Medicago truncatula: one gene and its partners. Each later gene encodes a partner of the first gene's protein in a complex. Links are inferred from orthologs where the notes say so. Each region holds a gene or a part of one and is shown in the gene's direction. Other genes may lie near its edges. The genes, in order: thioredoxin-like protein CITRX, chloroplastic; fructokinase-like 1, chloroplastic; fructokinase-like 2, chloroplastic.

Region 1 (7,910 bases):
TAACTACGTGACATGATATGATGGATGTATGTATAAAAAAGTATTTAAGTTGTTAATAGGTTTTTACCCCCTGTCATTTGGGGTTTTTTGGTATACCTCTGTCAAAATTTTTTTTGGAGATTCCCCCTGTAAAATGAAGATTCTTTGGTTTATACCCCCAAACCATATGACTGGATTAATGAGATGATGTGGCACGCTGATTGTGCACTAATTAAGGAGGTTGCAGCTGACGTGGCTTTTTTTATTTCTTTTCCAATTTTTTTTTTCTATTTGAATTTCTTTTATTAAAAACTTAATTTTATAAATTAAAAACATTAAAAAAAATTATTTTTTCTTTTCTCCTCCATTTCCTCCTTCCTTCTCTCTCTCGTCCCCATTCTTCCTTCTCTCCATGTTCTTCTTTTTACTCCCTTCTCTCTCATTCCCATTTCCTCCTTCCTATTCTCTTCGTTGAGCAAAAACATAGCCAAAAACATAAATAATACAAATCAAAACAACTTTTGGATCCAATCAAACAACATTAATAACACACAAACAAATACAAACAGATTCAGATTCAAACAACAACAACCCATTTTTTATCAAACCCATTTTTCGACCCATAAACAATATTAATAATATTTTTCGTATTTTTTCTCTTCGGATTTATGGATTAGAATTTTAAGACCTATTTTGAGACTCTTTTGCTTTTATGGGTGAGAAGATGAATGTTTGTGATTTGGGTTGTTGTTGATGATGTGTTGTTGTGAGTTTGAAAAGAAGATGTTTGTTGTTGTTGTTTTGAATTGTTGTGTTTGTTGTATATGATGAAGTAGAGAAGAATAGAAGAAGAGGATCGCTGCTGGAGGAGAAGAAGGGGAGAAAAAGATTTGGAATTTTTAATTTATCATTAGGGGTATTTTAGGTATTTCACATTTTTAACATAATTTTAACAATAAAAAATAAAAAAATTATGACGTGTCGGTGCCACTTCATCCATCGTTATACAGTCAGCACGCCACATCAACCAAATTACACAGTCAGATGGACTCAACTCAGGGTCCAAAATCAAAGAATCTTCATTTTGCAAAGGGGAATCTCCAAGTTTTTTTTTTTATATGGGGGTAAACCAAAAGACTCCCAAATGGCAGGGGAGTAAAAACCTATTAACCCTTAAGTTAAATATGTTTTTTAGTTTAGTCCTTACTTAATTTTAATAGATATTTTAGTCCTTATACTTTTTTTTTGCACACGGGTTTAGGTCCTTGATAAAACAAAATTAGTTAACTCCTAAATTTTTAAACAATTGTTTTCATACATGTTTATAACATTATTAAAAAACCCAACTAAACAAAAGCTCAAAATTTGATTTCTATCCCCATACTCTTGATGATTAAAAAATTAGACAAACAACCATTTCATATACTACAATGACTAACGAATTTTGGAATCATCGACTACTTTTTCGTGTTTTCTTTCAAGTCAAATACTAGTTTGAGAGCAAAGATATTGGGATTTAAACCTCAATCATAACATCCAACTAACAGAGTTTAAACTAATGTCAGGAGACTACGTGAAGAATATATAAATATAATGTCAACACATAGTCTCTATAATCATTTTTTTAACTTTCAAAAATAATTCAAAACCTTCTTTTAAAAAAATATTTAAAGAAAAAATACTCCCTCCGTCCTATATTATGTGACCTAATTGACCATGTCACGTATGCCAATGCACAATTTCAAATTTAAATATCTTTAATAATCTATTAGAAAAAAAATTATGAAAATTTGATATTTTAAAAATAATCATCGAAACGAATCCAAAGATTTTTTTTTTTTTTGAAGGAGAATCCAACATCTTATATGCTATATTTTGTTTTTATATGTTAGTAAAAAAATAGAGTCAAAACATGTATTATGAACGGTACACGTTTTCAAATTAAGTCATTTAAAACGGGACATAAGAAGTATATTTTTTAGGTACACGAAATAACCAAATCATTATAAACACTCACACAGACAAGTGGAGATGTTAGGGTTCGAACACCTGTCATAACATCAAACTAACAATTTTAACATTTTTATCTCTTGAGTTAGAAACATCTGCAAGTAGAGAATTGTTGTTGACACATTTCATAAGGCTGAGAAACACAAGTAAAATACGTTTTTGCCCCTTCGGCAGTTACTGCCGAGGAATTAAAAACTGGCTGCAGTTAACAGCCGAGGAAAACCTCGGTATTAAACAGCCGAGGATCTTCTGCTACAAATCTGGCAGAAGCTCTCTCATCTATTATTCATCTCATCTTCCAAAAAATTTATCAAATCTCTCTAAAAAAAACCTAAGCAAATCCAACCAAATTTATTCAACAAAATCACAAGTAAGTAATTATAATGCTATTAACTTACATTTTAGTTGTTATAAATGTTTTTATCTGTTAGTTTATGAGTAGATTTATTATTTTTTTAGTTTTTGAGTAGATTTACATGTTATAATTAATTTTTAGAGTAGATGTTAGTTGATTAATGTTGTTAAAATATTTGCATGATGTTTATGTTATACTTTAGAATTTTAGGGTTATATTTTAATTAGGTGTTTTATATTTTTTATTTTATTTTAGTAAGAGTATGTGATTTATTTTAAGAGTAAATATAAGTTGAATAATTTTGTTATATTTTACGTTATAATAAAAAAAATTATGTTAAACATAAGTTGAATGATTTATGTTATAGTATATGATTAACTTTTTTATTTTAGTAAGAGTATATGATTTATAATTTTAGGGTTATTTTTATGATTTTTGGAGTCTATGTATAATTTGCACATCAAGTGTTTGATGAAATGTTTGAATGAGTTTTTCATTGATTGTTTTTAATTTCTTATTGTGTAGATTTGAAACAATGGTCGGGTGGATCGACGTTCGTGCACAATTCAACGGCGGAGAACCTCAGAGGTTGAAGGTTCGGCGCCTTGGTGTAACTTTAAGAGGTCTCAAGGATGAACTGACTGAATTCAACAAGGAGTCAACCCCAGAGACGCAAGGAGGGTGGAATACGTTCAGTATAAACGTCCAACACTCGACTAGGGGAGAGTATCATTCACTTGGGTGGAATTAACGAACGACGAAAACGTGACGAGCATGTTTTGGGAGCACAACATGTTCCAGTGGATCAATATGCGGGTGACATTGCTGAGATCAATTGAAGATATCATCAAAAGTTTGATTCCGCCATAAGATCGTCATTAGGTACGGAATGAATGCACCTTCCAGCTACAACAATTGTCTTCCTTTGAATGGGGTAATTCAAACTTGCCAAACGGCAGGTCTCCAATATTCGACCGACATTCCCATTGTTCCTGTCAAAAGATTAAATTCTTGTTAGGCTGATTTAAATGAAGGTATTGAAGTGTCAAGGAATGGACCTCATTCTTTTGACATTTGAATACCATCATTTAATCCCAGACTAACAAGAATTTAATCTTTTGAATGGAACATTGGGAATGTCGGTCGAATATTGGAGTCATGCTGCTTGGCAAGTTTGAATTTACTACATTCAAAGGTAAAACAATTGTTGTAGTTGGAAGGTACAAACCTCTAACTACAACAATTGTCTTCCTCTGAATGGGGTAATTCAAACTTGTTAAACGGCAGGAATCCAGCATTTGATGAGCCTCTTGAATGCTGGTATTCAAGTGTCAAGGAATGCACCTCATTCTTTTGACACTTGAATACCATCATTCAAGATGCTGATTGGATGTTGGAGTCTTGCTGCTTAACAAGTTTGAATTTGCCCCATTCAGTGGTAAGATAATTGTTGCAGTTGGAAGGTATATTCCAGAATGTAATATAATGCAATGTAATGTGATAACATATATAGTTGAATATGCATAATACATTTTGTTTTGAATGGAAGAATAATTATCTTATTTATTCACTTTTCGAATTTATTTATTCATTACACAATTTTAATTAGTTGAATTCACGTTAGATTTAATTAGTTTTTATTCGAATACACAATTATTCAAAACACGACTTTAATCGAAATTATTCCAAATGCGATTTTATTCTAAGTAGCATAATGCCAAACAAAATGTGCGCGACACGAAAATAAAACATAAACAAAATCCAAAACAATTAGACATTAAAAACCATTACATTCATTCTTCCTCGTCACACAAGTTAATCGGGTTGCCCGCTACAGTCCCTGGGGCACCTTGTTTTGGTTGAGGAACAAAATAGCATGTCCTCCATCTCCTCCTCAACCTGGAGTGATTGTACACCGGCACCTTCAAACCCTTTTTTTTTTTCGGAACCATCACAAACAATTTTGTGTCATGTCATAAGCGATTTTTATTTGTTCTTCTCATCACCCTCAACGTTACCCCTAATTCTGATTTGAGACATATCTACATTAAAAAAAAATGGCGATCAAAACCTAACTAAACAACAATGCCATAAAATCGTAAAATCAAAAACTAAACCTAAACCTAAACTATCATCAAAACCTACACCTAAATCTAAACAATTCTAACAATTCTACAACGATTCATCAAAACCTAAACCTAACAATTCAATAAAAGTTCTCTAACAATTCTAACCAAAACTATCCTAACATATCATAAAATCAATAAAACCTATATAATCGAAATTTAACAAAAAAAAAAAAAAAATTCGATCCCAAAACAACAATGCAATATGATTCAAAAAAACTTATTTATTTTTGTGATTGAAACTGACTTGGAAGGACCTAAAAATACGTTCAAACCTCAAAATGAAGTGAAATCTAAAACACAGAAAGTAACTGTGACTGGTGAACTGTGAAAGACAAACCAAAGAGACCTATCTATCTAGTTCTAACTTCTAAGTACAAAGATAGATATGATAAACCCCTTCACTCAAAAACCCTCTTTCTCTTTCCGCACTCAAAAACTCTCTCTTTCTCTCTCTAAAATCTTCCATCTTCAATGGCTCTCTTCCATTCCTACACTCTTCCACATCACAAAATATCAACTCTTTCACCCTTTTCAACCTTCTCTTCAAAACCTCTCTCTGTTTCTCCCTCTTCTTCTGCTTTTTCTTTTTCAACATATCAACATCCTTATCCTCTCACCATATCCACCGACTTCAACAATAGAAAGTTGCTTTGCAAACCACCTAAAGGACAACATATTAAAGAAGACTATCTTGTGGTATGTCATTTCTAATAGCTTTGTTTTTTTAATACTAAATTTGGGTCTGTGTTCTTTTTTTCTCTTGTGAATTCTATGTTATAAAAATTTCAAATTTTGCAGAAAAAATTGTCAGCTGAAGAAATTCAAGAGCTGGTGAAGGGAGATAGAAATGTTCCTCTTATTATTGATTTCTACGCGACTTGGTGTGGTCCATGCATCTTAATGGCTCAAGAACTTGAAATGGTATGAGGTTTAATTGATGTTAGATTCCGAAAATGCTTAACCATTGCTCCTGTCATATGTTTTTTTAAGATGACCATTTTAGTTTTTAATAGTTTTCTAGATTGTTAAAAGGGTTAGTAATCATTCACCAAAAATTAGATTAAAGTATTCAACTCCTTAGAATATTTAGGCCCGGTTTGGATAAACAGATTAATTTAGCGCATATCGCATAAGCGTTTATCATATAATTGTTTATATGCTACTTATCAAACAAAATATCATCATAAAATAAAGTAAATTGTTTTTATATAAGCTGTTTTCATTAGCTGTCCTAGAGAGCTTGTGAAAATAAGCTGAAAATGGCTTTATGAACATGTCACTGTTTTCATAATCTCTCCCGAACAGTGTTACAAACAATTGCTTATCCCAGTCAATAAACTCAAATAAGCCAGTTCAAACTTAAAGATTTTCCTAGAAGTAAAACAGACTAGTAGAGTTTAACTTGCCTAGAAGTAGATTCAATTTGAATTGATTATTGGCATAAACTAACAATTAATTGTAATAATTGAACTCCAATAGATGGTATAACTATAATGACATGCTTTATATTTCATATTTTCATTTGTGTTATATTTTAGATTTGTCGTGTGAAACTACTAATTTCATTAAAATTGTCCACTGTGGTATGAATTTGAAATTTTATTCATTTGCCTGGACCTCAAAGTTTAAAAGTATCTATCTGTTGGAAAGTCTGTTTGGTTGATCAATGACAAACATATGTTGTATCTATTGCAAGAGCATTGTTCTCATGTCAAAATCTTGCATTACTCAGGTTGAGTATTCATGATGTTTATCAATCTTTATGCAGAAGATAACATGGTCAGCTAGGTCTTGTATTCTAAACTATATTTAGGTTATTCTTTGTACACGAGCTTGAAAATGTGAGGAGAGTGAAAGGTTTTCATACTCTTTTATTGATATGAAGTGAATCATGTTGTTTTTAATTAATAGGGGGAGGCACTTAGGCCATGTAAACTGTTCCTTCGTAGATTCGAACACAGTCCCTTGCTATTACAATTTACAAGGCTAGACAGTCACCATTGGATTGAGCTTAACTCAATTCTACAAAACTGGTTTGAAAGATGACAGATGCCTCCCACTTATATACTCATTTTCATTTCCTATCTCATCTAATGCAAGACTCGTACCTCCCCATCACGCTTAGGACTAGACATTTGAAGCGTAACATGACTGCGAGTGGCCCATCAGATCTTGGATAGACTCTGAAGGCATCATATAATGTGGATTAGGCCTAACTAAACCCTACAAATCCGACTTTTAAGGTGACCGATGTCTCCCACTTATATACATATTTCCAGACCTTATATCGTCCAATGTGAGTCTCTTAACAGATTCCATCATCATCAGCCTCTTAGTGGGAAAAGGATGAAGCCAATCTTGGATAAATGCATTGTTACTTAATTTAGTGGGAAAAGGCTTTGGTTGTTATTGTTTGAATGTATTGATGTTGAGTTTGACTCACATTCATGATAAGTAGGCAGGCGCTTGACCGCAGCATAGGGGTAAACTTGTAATATGGAATGTAGCATTTAATCACAACTTTGTACTTTGTAACCTTAAGCAATGCATAATAGAAAACAACAACGGCCACTTTGTTTTTTGTAGTCGTAGGCTCAATTGACCAAACTCTGTGATCAACTGTTTCTGTCTTTCGTGCATTTATTTATCTGTCTACTTTAGAGTCGGGTTTGCTGTTCTAGCAATTGTTAAAATAGAGTTGGGATTCTGGTTTCCTGCAAATGCAACAAAATGAGCTTAATTCTGGAACTTGTGGAATATTCTTTGAACAGGCTAATGCATATGTTTTTAGATTGTGAATTTGTGATGACTCAATCAATGTTCCATTAGTCCTAGTTGGTTTTGTTGTGAGTTTTAATTGCAATGCTGCAAATTCACACTACACAGTTGTAATTGTTTTACAATTTATGCATCATTTTGTTATGGAACTTTAACAGCTGCAGTTATGAAACTTTTTGCTAACTCATCGTTTTGTTCCCTGCATACTATTTTCCATGAATTTGACTACGACGCTTTTGTAATTGCAATTTTGGTCCCTAAATTTTTATAATTTTTTACACTTTTGGGGACTAAAAGTGCCAAAAATCCTCAAAATTGAGCGACCAAAACTGTAAAAAAAAAAAAAAAAATGTGTGCATTGTGTAGGGACCAAATTCGTGAAAAATAAATCGGAGTATCAAAGTCGTGAATTTGAGAAAACGAGAGACAAAAATTGTATTTAAGCCGTCATTCTAAATAACACTAGAAAGAAATGACTACAACTTCGCAACCAGTTTACAATCAAAGTAATTTTACTTTTACATATGTTCTACTGAAATGTTAAAGCCATAACTTGTATAATAGTTATTATCCTTTGTTGAATATTTTTTTTTTTACTTCCATCAAGGGACAAACTGCATTATAATAATCATGTTAGTTCTATAACTCTTTGATTTACT
Region 2 (7,415 bases), on another chromosome or scaffold:
TTCTGTTATGCTATCGGCTATAGCCGCTATCTGATGAATTGACAATCATAAGATTTCTCTGGGTGAAAATAGAAAGAGATGTTGGGAAGATGACCCTTCCCTCGACAACTTTACATGCCCCTCAAACATGACAATAAAATGCATCTCAACTTTTTCTTATCCTCTCAGCTAGATGGGAATGCAAACTCAAACTAGAATAACGTTCTACTTTTTGACACAAAATTAACAACAAAAATTTTAAATATTAGATAAAAACAATGAGATCCATAAATACTCATTCTCAAAACCAACCTTCAAAAAACTATACTAAATTACTTGCTGACTTAAAATCCACAGAGAACTCATAAAAATCTTGAAGGTTGTGCAATATGATACTCGTCTTCACTCAATTATTTCTTAGGTATCACAACTTCACTCAATTATTTCTTAGGTATTCACCATCTGTTTTTTTGGATATCACTCAATTATCACAACTCAAAAACACTCATTCTCTAAGTACCACAACTTCACTACCTCAATTGTTTAGAAACAACACACAACTATGAGATGGCACAGGGCAGTGAAAAACATATAGCAATTGAAACATCTCAGATGTTCAAACATCTCATAAGAACTCAATGTAATTATTTCTAATTTCTAATAAAAAACAATACCCCCTTCAAGTTATTACCTTAAATCGCAAATAGAAAAACCAAATATCATGTGAACATGTCAGTGAAATCAAAAAAATATCATGGACAAATCATGTAAATTATCCCCACAAAATAATCATGTGGAGAACAATATGGACCCCAGACAACAGAGCTCCAAGCTGCCATATAGACAGAAATTTCACTATAATGAACTTAATCTCTTCTACAAAGTTAAAATCACCGTAAAATACATCAAAGTTGGAAAAATAAAGCAAAACGTGATTCTTAGTCAACAATGGTACAACTACAATATCACAAAATCACCAGACAAGTTGCATGACATCACATCTCTGATTTTATACATTTTTAGACCTACATTATATATAAAAAAATAAGGTGTTGTTACTTTTTAGTTCATCTCGTTGCAGAGGAACTAAAGACACCTTGTTTTTATGAAAGCTAGGATAAAATGGATAACAGTTTTGAAAGGAATAAACTTGAAATGTCTGTAGATTTATAGGGACTAAAAAACTTGGATTGACGGTAAGTTTGGCGGAATAATGCTGTACCATCGGTTTTTTTAATGCAAAATCACAGGTATTGTTCTGTCAACGTGAAACATTGGCACCTCAATATACCACCAATAGCACCTCCAAAAGTATTATTCATAATGAAAAAGAAAACAAGGGTGGGGGCATAAACCAAACCCACCAAAACAAGGCTAACAAAAACAAAATTTAGATAAGCCAGATCTAAACCCACTTGGGTTGGCCAGGTTTGATCCCCCCCAGTGCCAATTTCAATGGGTTAGTCCATAAAAAGCTTTGCTCTGACAGCTTTGACTTTAAATAGGCACCCGCACGTGGACGGTGGGATTGGACCCCTCAGTTTACTCAATCATTGGGCCAGATACCAAGTTTTCAAAAATAGACAAGCCGAATCTATCTCTAAAAAGGCTTCTCTAGAGCAATTGGGAAGATCAACTAGGAAGGTTATCCCACCAAACTAAGTCATCTACAAAGAAACCAGCATTGGCAATTCTATTGGTACATACATTCCCTTCCCTAAATGTACCAAATTCGAAATCTGAAGTTTCTAATAATATGGTACCACCGTGATTTTGGCAAAAACTACATTTTAGGACTTAAAAAAAAAAACTATGGTGTCAATGTAATTTCATCAAACTCACCTTCTATTAAACACAGACACTCTTTAGATTAGGGGTACAGATTAAGGAATAAGCATCTTAAACAAATCAATACCCACAAGTTTCTTAACTAAAAACCAGACTAACTAAAAATATATTTTCACCAGTGATCACTAAAAATTCCCATATGATCTGTGATGATAAATGGCAAATTAAATTTCTCCAACAAGTTAATTAATCAAATGAAGAAGACATAATAGATTAAATTAAATTGAATAAATAATGAATATAATAAGAAATTGAGATGAGTTTCTTACCTGTTGGAAAAGAAGGGAAAGGAGCAACCTACGAGGTTTTGAAACTGAAAGTGAAAGTGAAATAAAGAAACCCACTTCTTATAACAAAGAATTTTCCAGAGGAAGATATCTAACGGCTTGAAGCGGTTCTTGCCAACGTGTCTGCGTAAATATACCCGTTGGATCAAAGGTCTACGTGGTAAACCATGAAGTAACCCGTACCCGATCGCTTTTCTTACCTATCCAAAATTCTTAGACTATTACTTTTTCCACCCTATGCATTTCCTCGTGCGCCCTATTTTTCCCCAAAATATCCACAGTCTGGATTATATAATCCGGAATGTTTTGTGGTTTTTGGCACTTCATCATCTTGATGGATGAAGATGTAAAGTTATGAATAGATGGATCCGGATTATACAATCCGAACAATTTAGAGAATTTTCGGATTATAAAATCCGAAAGGTGTAAATCACCCTGTTGAAAGTCAATAAAACGGGGTGGTGAATGATGGTTCCGGATTATATAATCCGGAATTTATAATCCGGAATGCATCGGTTCAAAGGCATAAGCCATTTGTTTTTGCTGAGCCTCTGTAAATCGAAGACATGTTCTAACAGTAAATTGAAGTTATAATCATCAACAAAATATAATTTTGCAAACATAATATTAAACAAACGTAATTAAAAATTATCCAAGATTACATAACATTAAAAATATTCAAATGTTACATCACCAAAAATTATCCAAGATGTTCAAACATTAAAAGTAAATAAAATACAATCAATCCCTAATAACTACACCCCCAGCACCTCTGCCACCACCCCAGCCACCACCTCTGCCACCCTCAGTGGCTCCCCGGTGACGGTAAACTTTTTCATCATGCACCTCTTTCAAAGCATCCTCCAAATGCTGCCATTCCACAGTCCCTTTCGGCACGAGACCACTTCTCATCACATCATAGATGTGGTCTCTGATGCGGCTCATCCTTCCGCTAAGCTGTAGGTACGCAAGGTCTCCATCCTCCTGAGTAGCTTGCGCATCAAGGATCTCACGCTCCGGTGGCCTCGGCACCGGTAGCGGCATATCATGAAGAATCATGCGTGGATGAGAATGTCGATAAAACCATTCGATATATCCATCTTCTGTAAAAATAAAACTGTAAAAATGGGGGGTGAAGTTCCTTTTATACTTCGCAGTTGTCCGGATTTTATATTCCGGAACACGCATTCATGTTCCGGATTTTATAATCCGAAAGGCATTTTCGTAATTTGCATAGGGTGTGCCAGAAGGTCATAGGGTGAGAAAAGTAATTGTCAAATTCTTAACTGCCCTAACACATTGCAGATTTACGGTTTAACTTTTACCCTTCTTTGGGTTGAGTTGATTTAGGTTTATCCCTCCAATGTTGAGTTGCACCTGCTAATCACATGGCGATCCTTACGTGCGGGGTCTTATTCCCTCAAAAGTAATTGAAACATAAACTTAAATTGACATTCCTAAATTTTCAAAATCAATTAAGGCCAATGTTCCTAAAGGTTCTCCCATATATGAATATTAGGTATCTCATAACACATTCTCCCTCTCGGTAGTTCTACAAATGGGCAGCCCTATTAGCGTCTACCTTACCAAGGATCGAGGAGAATGGTTCTACTAGGTTTGGTTCCCTCCCTAGAGTCGCTTGTTTCCTTAATTAATAACTAGTTACATCCTAGCTTCAACAAATTTTACTCGATATTAATAATGTCACCTCTTAAGTACTTACTACTAGGGTCAACTCTCTTTTGGTATCTTTAGCTAGTTACTAACTAATTACTTCTTAGATAGGCAGATATAAATGTAAAGATATATGCATCAATATTAGGCATGAAATTCACATGAAATTCTTATATATAGTGTCAAACACCATATAAAATTCACATACACAAATAAAAGATCTCGAGTTTGAATCTGAATAACCACATACAATGTAAAATGTAACAATCTTAACATTACTATTGAGTTATACATTGTTTAAGCGGAATAGCTCAATAAATAAAAATGTGAATATAATAGAAACCATTGAAAAGAGTGTTAATATTGATGAAAATTGTTCTTCTCCCATCAAGATTTGCTTACTCCCAACTGAACTTCCCAAAATACCATCCACATGACTTAAGTCACTAAGATGTTGAACTCAACGTGACTTAGGCCACATTCACTACATTCGTATATCCCACGCGAGTTAAATCATGTAAGTTATACTTCTTTAACTTTTTTTTTTTTTGTCACCATCCTTCAAACTTGAAAGTAGCAAAAAAAAAAACACCCATTTTATTAGGTGGTTTGGATAACACAGAATTTCAAAACTCATAGCATTTTTTTCTTACACAAAATGAATGATAAACCCTTCCAATAATCCAAACCCATAAAAATGTCCTCCTCAATTCTCCTTCTTCCTCTCTTTCACTCTCCAAAAACAACCTCACTTCAAAAACCCCAAACAACCCTTTCTAAATCAAACACAACAACCTCAAAACGACACATAACAACTCCTAAAGCTTCCACAACAGAAACACAATCCCAAACCTTAAAACGACGCAACAAAAAAAACAACACACCTCAAAACGACACAACACAAGAACAAGAACATGAACAAGAATTTGAAGATTACGACGACGGAATTGATTTCCCATACGATGACCCACCGTTAATATGCTGTTTCGGAGCAGCACAGAGGGAGTTTCTACCTACGGTGCGTGTGCAGGAGTTTCCAATGGACCCAGATATATACACAGAATGGAAGATGTTACAATGGAAGCCGCCGGAGTTTGCGCGAGCACCTGGTGGGCCGCCGTCGAATGTGGCGGTGGCCCATGTCAGGCTTGGCGGACGGGCGGCTTTGTTGGGGAAAGTTGGGGAGGATGAGTTTGGGGAGGAGATTGTTTTGGGGATGAATAAGGAGAAGGTGCAGACTAGAGGGGTGAAGTTTGATTCGGGGTTTCGGACTGGGTGTAGTTATATGAAGGTGAAGTTTGATGATGATGGGAAGATGGGGATGGAGATTGTTAAGGAATGTGCTGAGGATTCTCTTAGGAGTGATGAATTGAATCTTGCTGTTTTGAAAGAGGTTTTGTTTTTTAGCTTTAAATTACTTGCATTGTTAATTGTTACTATTTTTGACACTTATATTTGCTTATTTTTTTACTCAAAAACATAGTTATTAATATTAGGTAAGATGTGATATGAAAATGTGTTTATAAGCGCGAGACATCCCTTGTTCTAGAAGACAGTTTTGTTGGGTTAAGTTAGGTACAACCCAAAATTTAAGATTGTATTAGAGTCTATTCTAGATTCATTGAGGTATCGGCCACTCAGGTCACGCTCCAAATGTGCTATCTTCTTTGTGATGGGGTTTGATAGGAGTTTCACATTAGATGAGATATGGTCTTAAAATGTGTTCGTAAGTGGGAGACATTCCGCACTGTACAAACCGATTTTGTTGGGCTGAGTTGGACTTTATAAATATGAACTCAATATGAATCTCTAGAGTGTATCTGTTTCTGACATGAATTCCATCTTAAATCTCAATTCGTAAGTTAAATCTTGATTCATGATGACGAATCCCGACTCATTCTAATGAGTCATTACTCAAACTTAGTGTGGTAAGCTCTTTTTTTTAGTCATCTTTTTATACTCGGCAACTTTTCTTTTGTCATTTGATTTATGAAATTATTTTGAGGTTTGTATATAATATATCAATTTATAATTTTGCTTTGTCATTTGTTTTTACTTAAAAAATGCCATGTTATATTTTTATTGGTGACGTATGTTATACCACTCATAATGAGATTTAATTCATGATTGAATTGGTCTTTTCATTCGCAATTAGTATCCCAATTTGATAACCATGCTAAAAAAGTATAATCATGCTTTGTTTTCATGTTATTTAGGGAAGGGAACTTTTTCTTTTAGGTTAGGTGGTATAATAACACGGTTAGAAATGGTGAAAGTTTGTTAATGTATGAGGAAGATGGCTGTGCCTTTATTTGGAACAATGTTCATTAAACGTGATATTGTATGAAGTTGATTCTTTTAATATTGAATATGTTACAATGAGTTTGAAGAGAAGTGGCTTATATTTTAACGTTTTTGCACCGAATGTGAAGGCAAGTTTGATATATAGTTTAGTATCATTCTGTCAATCAAATGTCAAAGCTGTTTTTCGTAACTCTTTGTCAAATTGAGGTTCAGAGGCAATTTTGTGTGTAAGGTAAACCAACATTAGTATTCTTACAGTGCGTCTTGACATGAGGCAAAATCATTTTTGATACTTCACATTTTGGAAGGTAGAGCAATTTTTTACAATGTTGAATGAATTTTGTTTGGAAGATAAATTGGAATCACTTATGAAGTGTAAATCACTTATAAGTCACACATGTAGAGTTTGGGAAGCTATAAAATTTTGCTTCTCTTAAATCAATTCTACCCATCCCAAAGTTGATTTTATTGACACTTTTGAAATGGTAATAGGTTGTTAATGTATGAGGAATAATCTTCTGTGAATAAAATTTGTTGTAACTTTTTTCTATGGACTATTTTTGCAGGCTAGGATTTTCCATTTCAATTCAGAAGTTCTAACATCCCTTTCTATGGAATCAACTCTGTTCAAAGCAATTAAGTGGTTTAAGAAGTTCGGTGGCCTTGTCTTTTTTGATATAAACTTGCCATTACCTCTGTGGAGATCACGCGACGAGACTCGAGAAATAATCAAGAAAGCATGGCAAGAAGCAGACATCATTGAAGTTTCAAGAACCGAGCTAGAATTCCTTCTAGACGAAGAACATTATGAGAGGAAGAGAAATTATAAACCACAATACTACGCCGAAGAGTACGAACAAACCAAGAATCATCAAGAGTATTACCATTATACTGCCGAGGATATCTCGCCTTTGTGGCATGATGGTCTTAAGTTCTTGTTTGTGACCGATGGAACAATTAGAATTCACTATTATACCCCTTCCTTTGACGGGGTTGTGGTTGGAACAGAAGACGTGCTCATAACTCCTTATACTTGCGATAGAACTGGCTCGGGTGATGCTATTGTGGCTGCTATTATGAGAAAACTAACCACTTGTCCAGAAATGTTTGAAGACCAAGATGTTTTGGAGAGACAGCTACGTTTTGCTGTTGCAGCCGGAATTATATCGCAATGGACTATCGGTGGAGTTAGAGGTTTTCCTACTGAAAGTGCTGCTCAGAATCTGAAAGAACAAGTTTATGTACCTTCAATGTGGTGATAAAAATTGTTTGTGCAACGAGAATAGAAAATTTAGCAGTGTCATTAAGCATTAGATTGTAGTT
Region 3 (7,227 bases), on another chromosome or scaffold:
AATGTAGTACATGCTTCTTTGCTCTTGCAGTGTCATCATTGTAGTGTTCTATATATGACACTGGAGCAGCAGCGAGACATGGTAAAAAACAGTACTAGTATTGTTTCATGAAGCCAAACACACAGACAAGGAAGGTGGCATGGGAACCACACAAAAAAAAATTAGCACCAAAACAGTGATAGCAAGACAATTCACTGTCCAAATTTCACCGGACAACATTTTTGTCTTCGAATTGCATCACAAATCTTAATGGCATCTAGATTATCTTTGACATTATGCACTCGAACGATATTAGCCCCACCCAACACACAGGCAGTAACAGCAGCAATGGTAGCAGGATCCCTCTCAACTGCAGAAGTGCGAGAGCAAATTTCACCTAAAAATCTCTTTCTTGAAGGTCCAATTAGTATAGGAGCATGAGAGATTGCCAAACTTCTTTTTGAAAACTCTGCTCTAATATCAGGTATTCCTGCAAGGACCTCTAAATTGTCTTCAGTTTTCTTTGAGAATCCAATTCCAGGGTCCATAATAATCCTCCACGCCGGGATTCCCGACATTTCTGCCTCTTTAACCTGCGCGTATAATTCTGAGGATATATCCTTGCAGACATTATCATATTTCAGGTTTTCATTATTCTGCATTGTACACGGATCACCCCTCATGTGCATTGCAACATAAGGAACATCAAGGTCTGCCATGACCTTAAACATATTTGAATCTAACTTCCCGGCAGATACATCATTTATAAGATGAGCCCCTCTGCGCACTGCCTCTGATGCAACTTCGGAGTAGAAAGTATCCACCGATATGAGTTTTCCTTCTGCCTCAGGTATTGACATTACAGCTTCCAGTACAGGGATTAATCTACCTAATTCCTCTTCGACAGAGATCCTCGATGCCATCGGCCGAGTAGACTGAGCACCGATATCAATTATATCAGCACCCTCTGATATCATCAACCGAGCCTGCGAAACAGCAGATTCCACAGACCGGAAATTTCCCCCATCACTAAAACTATCTGGAGTCAAATTAAGAACCCCCATGACCAATGTTCTTTGCGACCAATCAAGCAAGCCATTTGCAACAGGCATTACCCTAGTCATACCTTCCTCTCCAATAAGGGATTCTCCACCTAATTTTTCCCATAATGCATTTAGTCCACCAGAATGGCCTGAAAATGAATGCCAGCTAGCAACTGTATCATTGTCAACAGCTGTTCCCAGTAAATCCATCAAAGGGGCCATGACAAAAGGTCGTTCCCAAATTCTTTCATGAGGTACTGTGAGAATATCAGATCTGACTTTAAATTTACCATAGAATAAAATGTCTAAGTCCATTGGCCTTGGACCATACCTTATACCGTCAGTACGGCCCATGTCCTTCTCGATTCGTTTCAGTGCAGACAATAATTCATGTGGCCCGAGTTTAGTAACAGCTCTTACTGCTGAGTTCAGGAAGCGAGGTTGGTCAGTAACATACGCTGGTGCTGTCTCATACAGACTCGCATGTCTTGTAATGTTTATGCCTGACTTTCTCATCAATTTCAAGGCTTCCTTGAAGTTCTGTAGTCTATCGCCAACATTACTTCCCAAAGCAATCACTACTTCCTCATCTTGAGTGTGAAGTTCAACAGAGGAGTTTGGAGCTGTGTGAAGAGATGACAATCCGAGTACTGCAAGGAAAAATAAAATAAAAAATAACATTTGTAAATAATAGGCTTTGATTGAGTATGCCAAAACTGATGAACTCTGATAACCTTCTTTCTAGATTGATTATATCCTTTTATTATGAAACCTTGGCAATACAAAAAACCAGTTTATGTACTGTCTGTGGATTAGAGAGCTAAAAGAACTTATTTCTTAATCGCATAAATATAGAAGTATTGTAGGAAAACCAAGAAAAGAAACCACCCTCTCCATATCTCCACCCGTGAGTATCAGTAGATGACAATGTTTGGGTTTAAGAACCTTTAAACAAAGAAAAAAAAATATTCACTAACCAAGGCCAGCTCTAAAAACAAGGCCCTAAAAATGTGTAGTTAATAGATTTTCTTAAAAAATAGTATCATCATCTTATTACGACTCTCTTAAATAATTTTATTTTATTCACCTCTTTAGTTATAATAATTCAATAACTAACTTTACATTTCAAAAAGTTCAAAAAATAACCTTCAAATCAAACTTTACAATGACTTTGATCCCTAAATCTCATTCTTGCACGGAGAGAGATTGACAGAGTCGGAATGGCTTGTAGATGTAATGTTATTATAACAAGTTTGAAGATGGTGAATGGTGGTAGAAGCTGCAGCCTGCATGCTTCACAAATTATAATTTTTAGCTGAAAACGAACAAAAAAGGCTAGAGTGGAGTGGAATGCTGATTTTATTTTACAGAAAAGGTAAAATGTTTAGTGACTTTGGGATGTTGGTTTTATTTTACAGAAAAGTGTATAGAAATAGCCATAAATTACTAGAGCATGGGTTTGAATGGCTTTTTGAACGTTGGATACGGTCTAGTGTGCTTTCTGGGTTGGATCCACATGTTGAAGAAAAGTGAATATTTCTGTTTAGTAATCGAAGTTTTATTAAACTAGAGTTAAGTGTATGCGCCTTTCTCTCTGTTTACCACTCTGTTCTGTTCTCATCTTTTTAGTTTTCTGCAAGTCAGACATATTTCATACTAACCAAATTTACTGGTAAAGTCATTTGATTAAAAAACAAATCACATCTCAAGCCAATCCTCCATCACCCAAACCCCTTATATTGACAACTCCTCATACACATATTTGGTTTTGCCTTTGAGCAACACTATGCAACCATCACATCACTCAACACAGATTCACATAGCATTGAAAAGAAACAAACTTCAATCCAGTCTTTCTTGCTTTCCTATATCTATATGGTTTTAATTTGTATACATCGACGGTCTAAAACTTTTTTACACATGCATCCAATCAAATTATCTCATGATGCCACTTTCTTAGGTTGATTCCTAAAAAAACTCTAGAAATAGTATAATTTGATTGGACGCATGCTTAAATTTTTTTTTTTTTTTTTGCATTGCCAGTGTATTGAAACCAATCTCTTCCTATATTAGATGATAGAAATTTCAGGGTTGTACACAAAATAGCAGCTTCTTTAAGTTGCATTACCTTTAAGGTAGTTTCTTGCAGCACAGAGCTGACTCCTGCGCGCGCTCAGGTACTTAAGTATACTCATCTGAGAAAGGCTTCCCGAAGTGTATCGAAGCCAATATCCTAAAACTCTTGAGCTGGTACAAACTGAAATCATGCATTAGTCACAAGAGAAAATAGTCAGAAAGAATTCACATTATCCCAAAAAATCCAATTTGTATTGAAATTTCATGCAATAGCAATAAAAAACAATAAGGCATTATTCCAATTTAGTGAATCTCACAAAAAAATAATAGTCAATTGCATAATAAAAGCTTGGATATTTGTAATTTGTAATATGATATAACACGAAAAAGAAAAAGAAAAAGAAAACAGATCCAGAAGCCTTTGAGGCATATTATCAAACACATGGCATGATAAGAAGTAAAAAGAAATGGCCATAACTTACTGAATTGATGATTATTTTATGAATCATGAGTTGGCTTGGAAGAGGAATGCACAGAGAAAAAACATTCCTAAGCACCTATGCAAGAAGGAAGAAAAAGACTAAAACCCCTCACTTTTTCGTTTGTTTAATGGTAACGCATGTAAACCATAAAAGATAACTAGTTTTGTTTTTTTTGAAAGATAAAAGATAACAAGTTAAATAACAAGAAGTTAAATGAAAAAATAATAATTAAAAGAATACTTATATTAATATAAGTAATTTTTTAATTATTACTTTGAGGTTGCAAATTGCAATTGGATTTTGATGTTTCCGTATCCTTTTCTTATTTATTAAATGAATAATAATAAATAAGATAAATAAGAAAAAGATACGGTTTAATTATTGTTGTACAGAAATTTAAAGTAAAAATGACATGAGTATGAAAAAGAATGTTGACACAAAAATTATCATCAAATGGATGTTCAAATATTATTTTTCTTACCGGAGGGTAATATGTGTTTTACCGAAGACCCTTATCTCTTTTAAACCCCCTTGTCGTTTTGGTCCTTGTTAAACCCTTCACCTCTTTCTCTCTCTCTAAAGCAAATCTTCTTCTGTTCAAAACCTTAGCTAGTATGTTAAGTGTGATGCCTAAACAGAACACTAACCTCTCTTTGTAACTCAATTTCTTCTCCAATGTCGTCTCTTTCCTTTGCTCACTTTCTTCCACTTCCCAGGTACCCTTTATCTGTAGTCTTAAAAAAGTAACAAAAACACTTTTCTTTTTCTTTTTTTTTTTTTCTTATCCAATTTTGATTTTTAATGAAATGGGTAGCATGAATTTTTTTTCAATTTTGCATAAAAATATAATTCTTCTAAAAAAGTTACTTTTTTTATTCAACTTTGCTGTGTGTGTGTTGGGTTTCAGCTCTAGTTTTGGAATTGAATGTTAGTGTATAATTCTTTTGCTGGTTGAATTTGAATGTGTAACTCTTGTCTTTGCAAGTGTGCAGGTGTAACTTGACTTGGTCTTATTGCTATGCTTCTATGAACGTAGTTCAACTTGGGGGTCTCAAAATTCAGTGTAAATCTGGTCATGTTGCAATGGCTAGGAAGAAAGCTTCACTAGGATCTGTTGAAGAAGAATCTAGTGAAAATGAACCTGTGGTGGAAAAGAAAGCAACTAAAGCATCTAAACCTAAGAAGGTGTCGGCAAAGACTAAGAAAAAATCAATAGATGAGTCTCCTGAAGGGGCAATTGATTTGTTGGTAAATGTAGATAGTGCGTCTATTGTAGAAGGCTCATCTCCCTCTGGGGATGGTTCTGAGAAGAAAACACGAAAGACTCGGAAAAAAGGTAATCTAATCGCTTTATCTGTCTCTATGTTAAGAATTTTATGTGTGTTTTTGTTTTGTTTATATGTGTTAGTTAAACCTTGATATGGTTTATAGATGCATCTAGTTCTGCTGTTTTGGAAGAAGAGAAAGAAGTTAAGGAAGTGAAAAAAGTTACAAGGCGAAGGAAACCTAAAGAGGAGAATATAATTTTAGAGGATAAAGGTGGTGGTGAAGCCGAAATCAGTGACATAGACGAGCCTTCCTTTATTGAAAATGTGGAGGATGAGATTGACGATGGTTTGGATCTGGAAAAATATGATGGAGAGGACATAAGTGATACCTACGGTTGGCCTCCTCTTGTTTGTTGCTTTGGAGCTGCACAACATGCTTTTGTGCCTTCAGGTAGGCCTGCCAATAGGCTTATAGATCATGAACTCCACGAAAGAATGAAGGATGCCCTCTGGAGCCCTGAGAAATTTGTTAGGGCTCCCGGAGGTTGTGCCGGTAGTGTTGCCATTGCTCTTGCTAGTTTGGGTGGCAAGGTTGCTTTTATGGGAAAACTTGCAGATGATGAATATGGTCAAGCGATGCTGTATTATATGAACGCAAATAATGTTCAAACCCGATCGGTCAGCATTGATAGTAAAAGGGCAACAGGTGTGTCACTGATGAAGATTGGTAAAAGGAAACTTAAGCTAAGTTGTGTAAAACCCTGTGCTGAAGATTGTTTGACAAAGTCAGAGATAAATATTGACGTGTTGAAAGAGGTACGGAACTAGAAACTCATTGAAGAAAATGATTTTTAAATGAAGTAAATAGTATTCTCTGTTGATTATATGTTCTAGTCTCATCATTGGTGATATAGCAGCCTTATTGAACTTGAAATTGATGTGCTTTTCTACATTTGATAGAACAGTTTTTTTTATGTTCTATACTACCTCTGTCCGTATTTGTAAGTCCTTTCATCATCATTTTAACAAATATGCAGTTTCATCATCTTTCTATTGTAATTGTTATATACTACCTCCATCTCTATTCACAAGCCCCTTTCATCATTTTCACATATATATTAAAAAAATAGGTATTGTATCTAATATGTGTATGACTGTTACTAAAATAACCTTTTGTATATAAATGTGTCAAACCCTAATTTCTCATCTCTCCAGATATATAAATTAGTAGTATTATAATAACGGGTATATTTGGAATAAAGTAATAAATGCATCTATTAATTTGAAATGGGGCTTATGTTTAGAAATTAATTTTTTCGTTCTAAGATGTACTTATAATTAGGGACAGAAGTAGCATTTTACAACGATATTGTCTACTGCAATGGTGTGTCGTTACGATATTAGTTACAAGCATGCATACATTTAAGCAAAAAAGTAGAAACATGAATGATTCTGTAGATGGCTTCATTCTTTTTGAACCAACTATCCCAAAACTAAGCTATTTAGTGAAAACACTTGAATCGTTGTAGTATCATGCCCTTTCACACAATAATTGTTTGGGCCTGACTATTGACAGAGCAAAGACGACTAGATGTACCCTATATTTCTTTAAATCTATCATTTGTTTAGAAACATGGCGACAATAAGGATTGGACCCTAGGACGACTTGGACATAGAAGCTTTGGTTGCAAACCATAAACCAAAAAGTAATGCTGTTGGTTGAAAGCTCGTGAATAGTTTTATACTTAACAGTTAACATATAAGGCATGTTTGTTTGATTGTATGTCAGATTCTCTGTATAATGTATGCTTCTACTTAGTTTTTTGTTTTGTTTTAGCTGCTTGGGAGTTTAGATTATTACTAAATGCTATTGAGTCTATTAAGAACACATCTCATGCAGGCAAAAATGTTCTATTTCAACACACATTCCCTCCTTGATCGTCACATGAGATCCACGACATTGCGAGCTATCAAGATTGCAAAGCATTTTGGAGCAGTTGTTTTCTACGATGTAAACCTTCCTATGCCACTATGGCACTCTCAGGAAGAAACTAAGACGTTCATTCAGCAAGTGTGGAATCTTGCAGACATCATTGAAGTCACTAAGCAAGAACTAGAGTTCCTATGCGGGATAACACCATCTGAAGAATTTGACACCAAAAACAATGCCAGGTCAAAGTTTGTCCATTACGAACCCGAAGTAGTTGCACCACTATGGCACGAAAATCTTAAGGTTTTGTTTGTGACTAATGGAACTTCCAAGATACATTACTACACCACAGAGCTCGATGGTGCTGTTAGCGGTATGGAGGATGCCCCAATTACCCCTTTCACTCGTGACATGTCAGCATCTGGAGACGGCATTGTTGCAGGTACGTT

The links.
Region 2: the proteins of thioredoxin-like protein CITRX, chloroplastic (region 1) and fructokinase-like 1, chloroplastic are in contact, whole or in part, in a cryo-EM structure (PDB 8XZV), measured with the Spinacia oleracea proteins. The link is inferred for Medicago truncatula from reciprocal best matches to the Arabidopsis thaliana genes TRX z and FLN1. Residues at the interface, in XP_021862427.2 of Spinacia oleracea: Tyr73, Val75, Lys77, Ile83, Thr84, Val87, Arg88, Tyr100, Ala101, Thr102, Trp103, Cys104, Gly105, Pro106, Cys107, Ile108, Ala111, Gln112, Lys129, Asp131, Thr132, Asp133, Asp134, Tyr136, Phe138, Arg140, Asp141, Met142, Gln143, Val144; in XP_021865197.1 of Spinacia oleracea: Gln111, Lys112, Glu113, Phe114, Val115, Pro116, Ser117, Val118, Arg119, Val120, Ser121, His123, Gln124, Met125, Asp126, Pro127, Asp128, Ile129, Tyr130, Trp133, Met136, Gln137, Pro141, Phe143, Asp175, Phe176, Lys201, Ala203, Cys204, Ser205.
Region 3: the proteins of thioredoxin-like protein CITRX, chloroplastic (region 1) and fructokinase-like 2, chloroplastic are in contact, whole or in part, in a cryo-EM structure (PDB 8XZV), measured with the Spinacia oleracea proteins. The link is inferred for Medicago truncatula from reciprocal best matches to the Arabidopsis thaliana genes TRX z and FLN2. Residues at the interface, in XP_021862427.2 of Spinacia oleracea: Tyr73, Lys77, Ile83, Thr84, Val87, Arg88, Phe99, Tyr100, Thr102, Trp103, Gly105, Pro106, Ile108, Leu109, Gln112, Asp131, Asp133, Tyr136, Phe138, Ala139, Arg140, Asp141, Met142, Gln143, Val144, Arg145, Gly146, Leu147, Pro148, Tyr151; in XP_021858068.1 of Spinacia oleracea: Gln218, His219, Ala220, Phe221, Val222, Pro223, Ser224, Gly225, Arg226, Pro227, Ala228, Arg230, Leu231, Ile232, His234, Gln235, Ile236, His237, Leu240, Lys241, Ala243, Phe250, Ile251, Asp282, Tyr283, Thr286, Trp308, Ala310, Met311, Ser312.

The regions. Positions count from the first base shown.
Region 1 is NC_053042.1:14,273,529-14,281,438, forward strand, and holds the start of thioredoxin-like protein CITRX, chloroplastic, read left to right. Parts: upstream 1-4,828; 5' UTR 4,829-4,944; coding exon 4,945-5,169; intron 5,170-5,271; coding exon 5,272-5,394; intron 5,395-7,910. UniProt on the Arabidopsis thaliana protein: Thiol-disulfide oxidoreductase that plays a role in proper chloroplast development, most likely through regulating plastid-encoded polymerase (PEP) dependent chloroplast transcription.
Region 2 is NC_053045.1:6,419,018-6,426,432, forward strand, and holds the start of fructokinase-like 1, chloroplastic, read left to right. Parts: upstream 1-4,395; 5' UTR 4,396-4,485; coding exon 4,486-5,181; intron 5,182-6,658; coding exon 6,659-7,351; 3' UTR 7,352-7,415. UniProt on the Arabidopsis thaliana protein: Required for proper chloroplast development, most likely through regulating plastid-encoded polymerase (PEP) dependent chloroplast transcription.
Region 3 is NC_053046.1:19,649,906-19,657,132, forward strand, and holds the start of fructokinase-like 2, chloroplastic, read left to right. Parts: upstream 1-4,122; 5' UTR 4,123-4,255; coding exon 4,256-4,296; intron 4,297-4,572; coding exon 4,573-4,916; intron 4,917-5,011; coding exon 5,012-5,664; intron 5,665-6,748; coding exon 6,749-7,220; intron 7,221-7,227. Other genes in the region: folate synthesis bifunctional protein, mitochondrial, read right to left, coding at 192-1,672, 3,151-3,217. UniProt on the Arabidopsis thaliana protein: Required for proper chloroplast development, most likely through regulating plastid-encoded polymerase (PEP) dependent chloroplast transcription.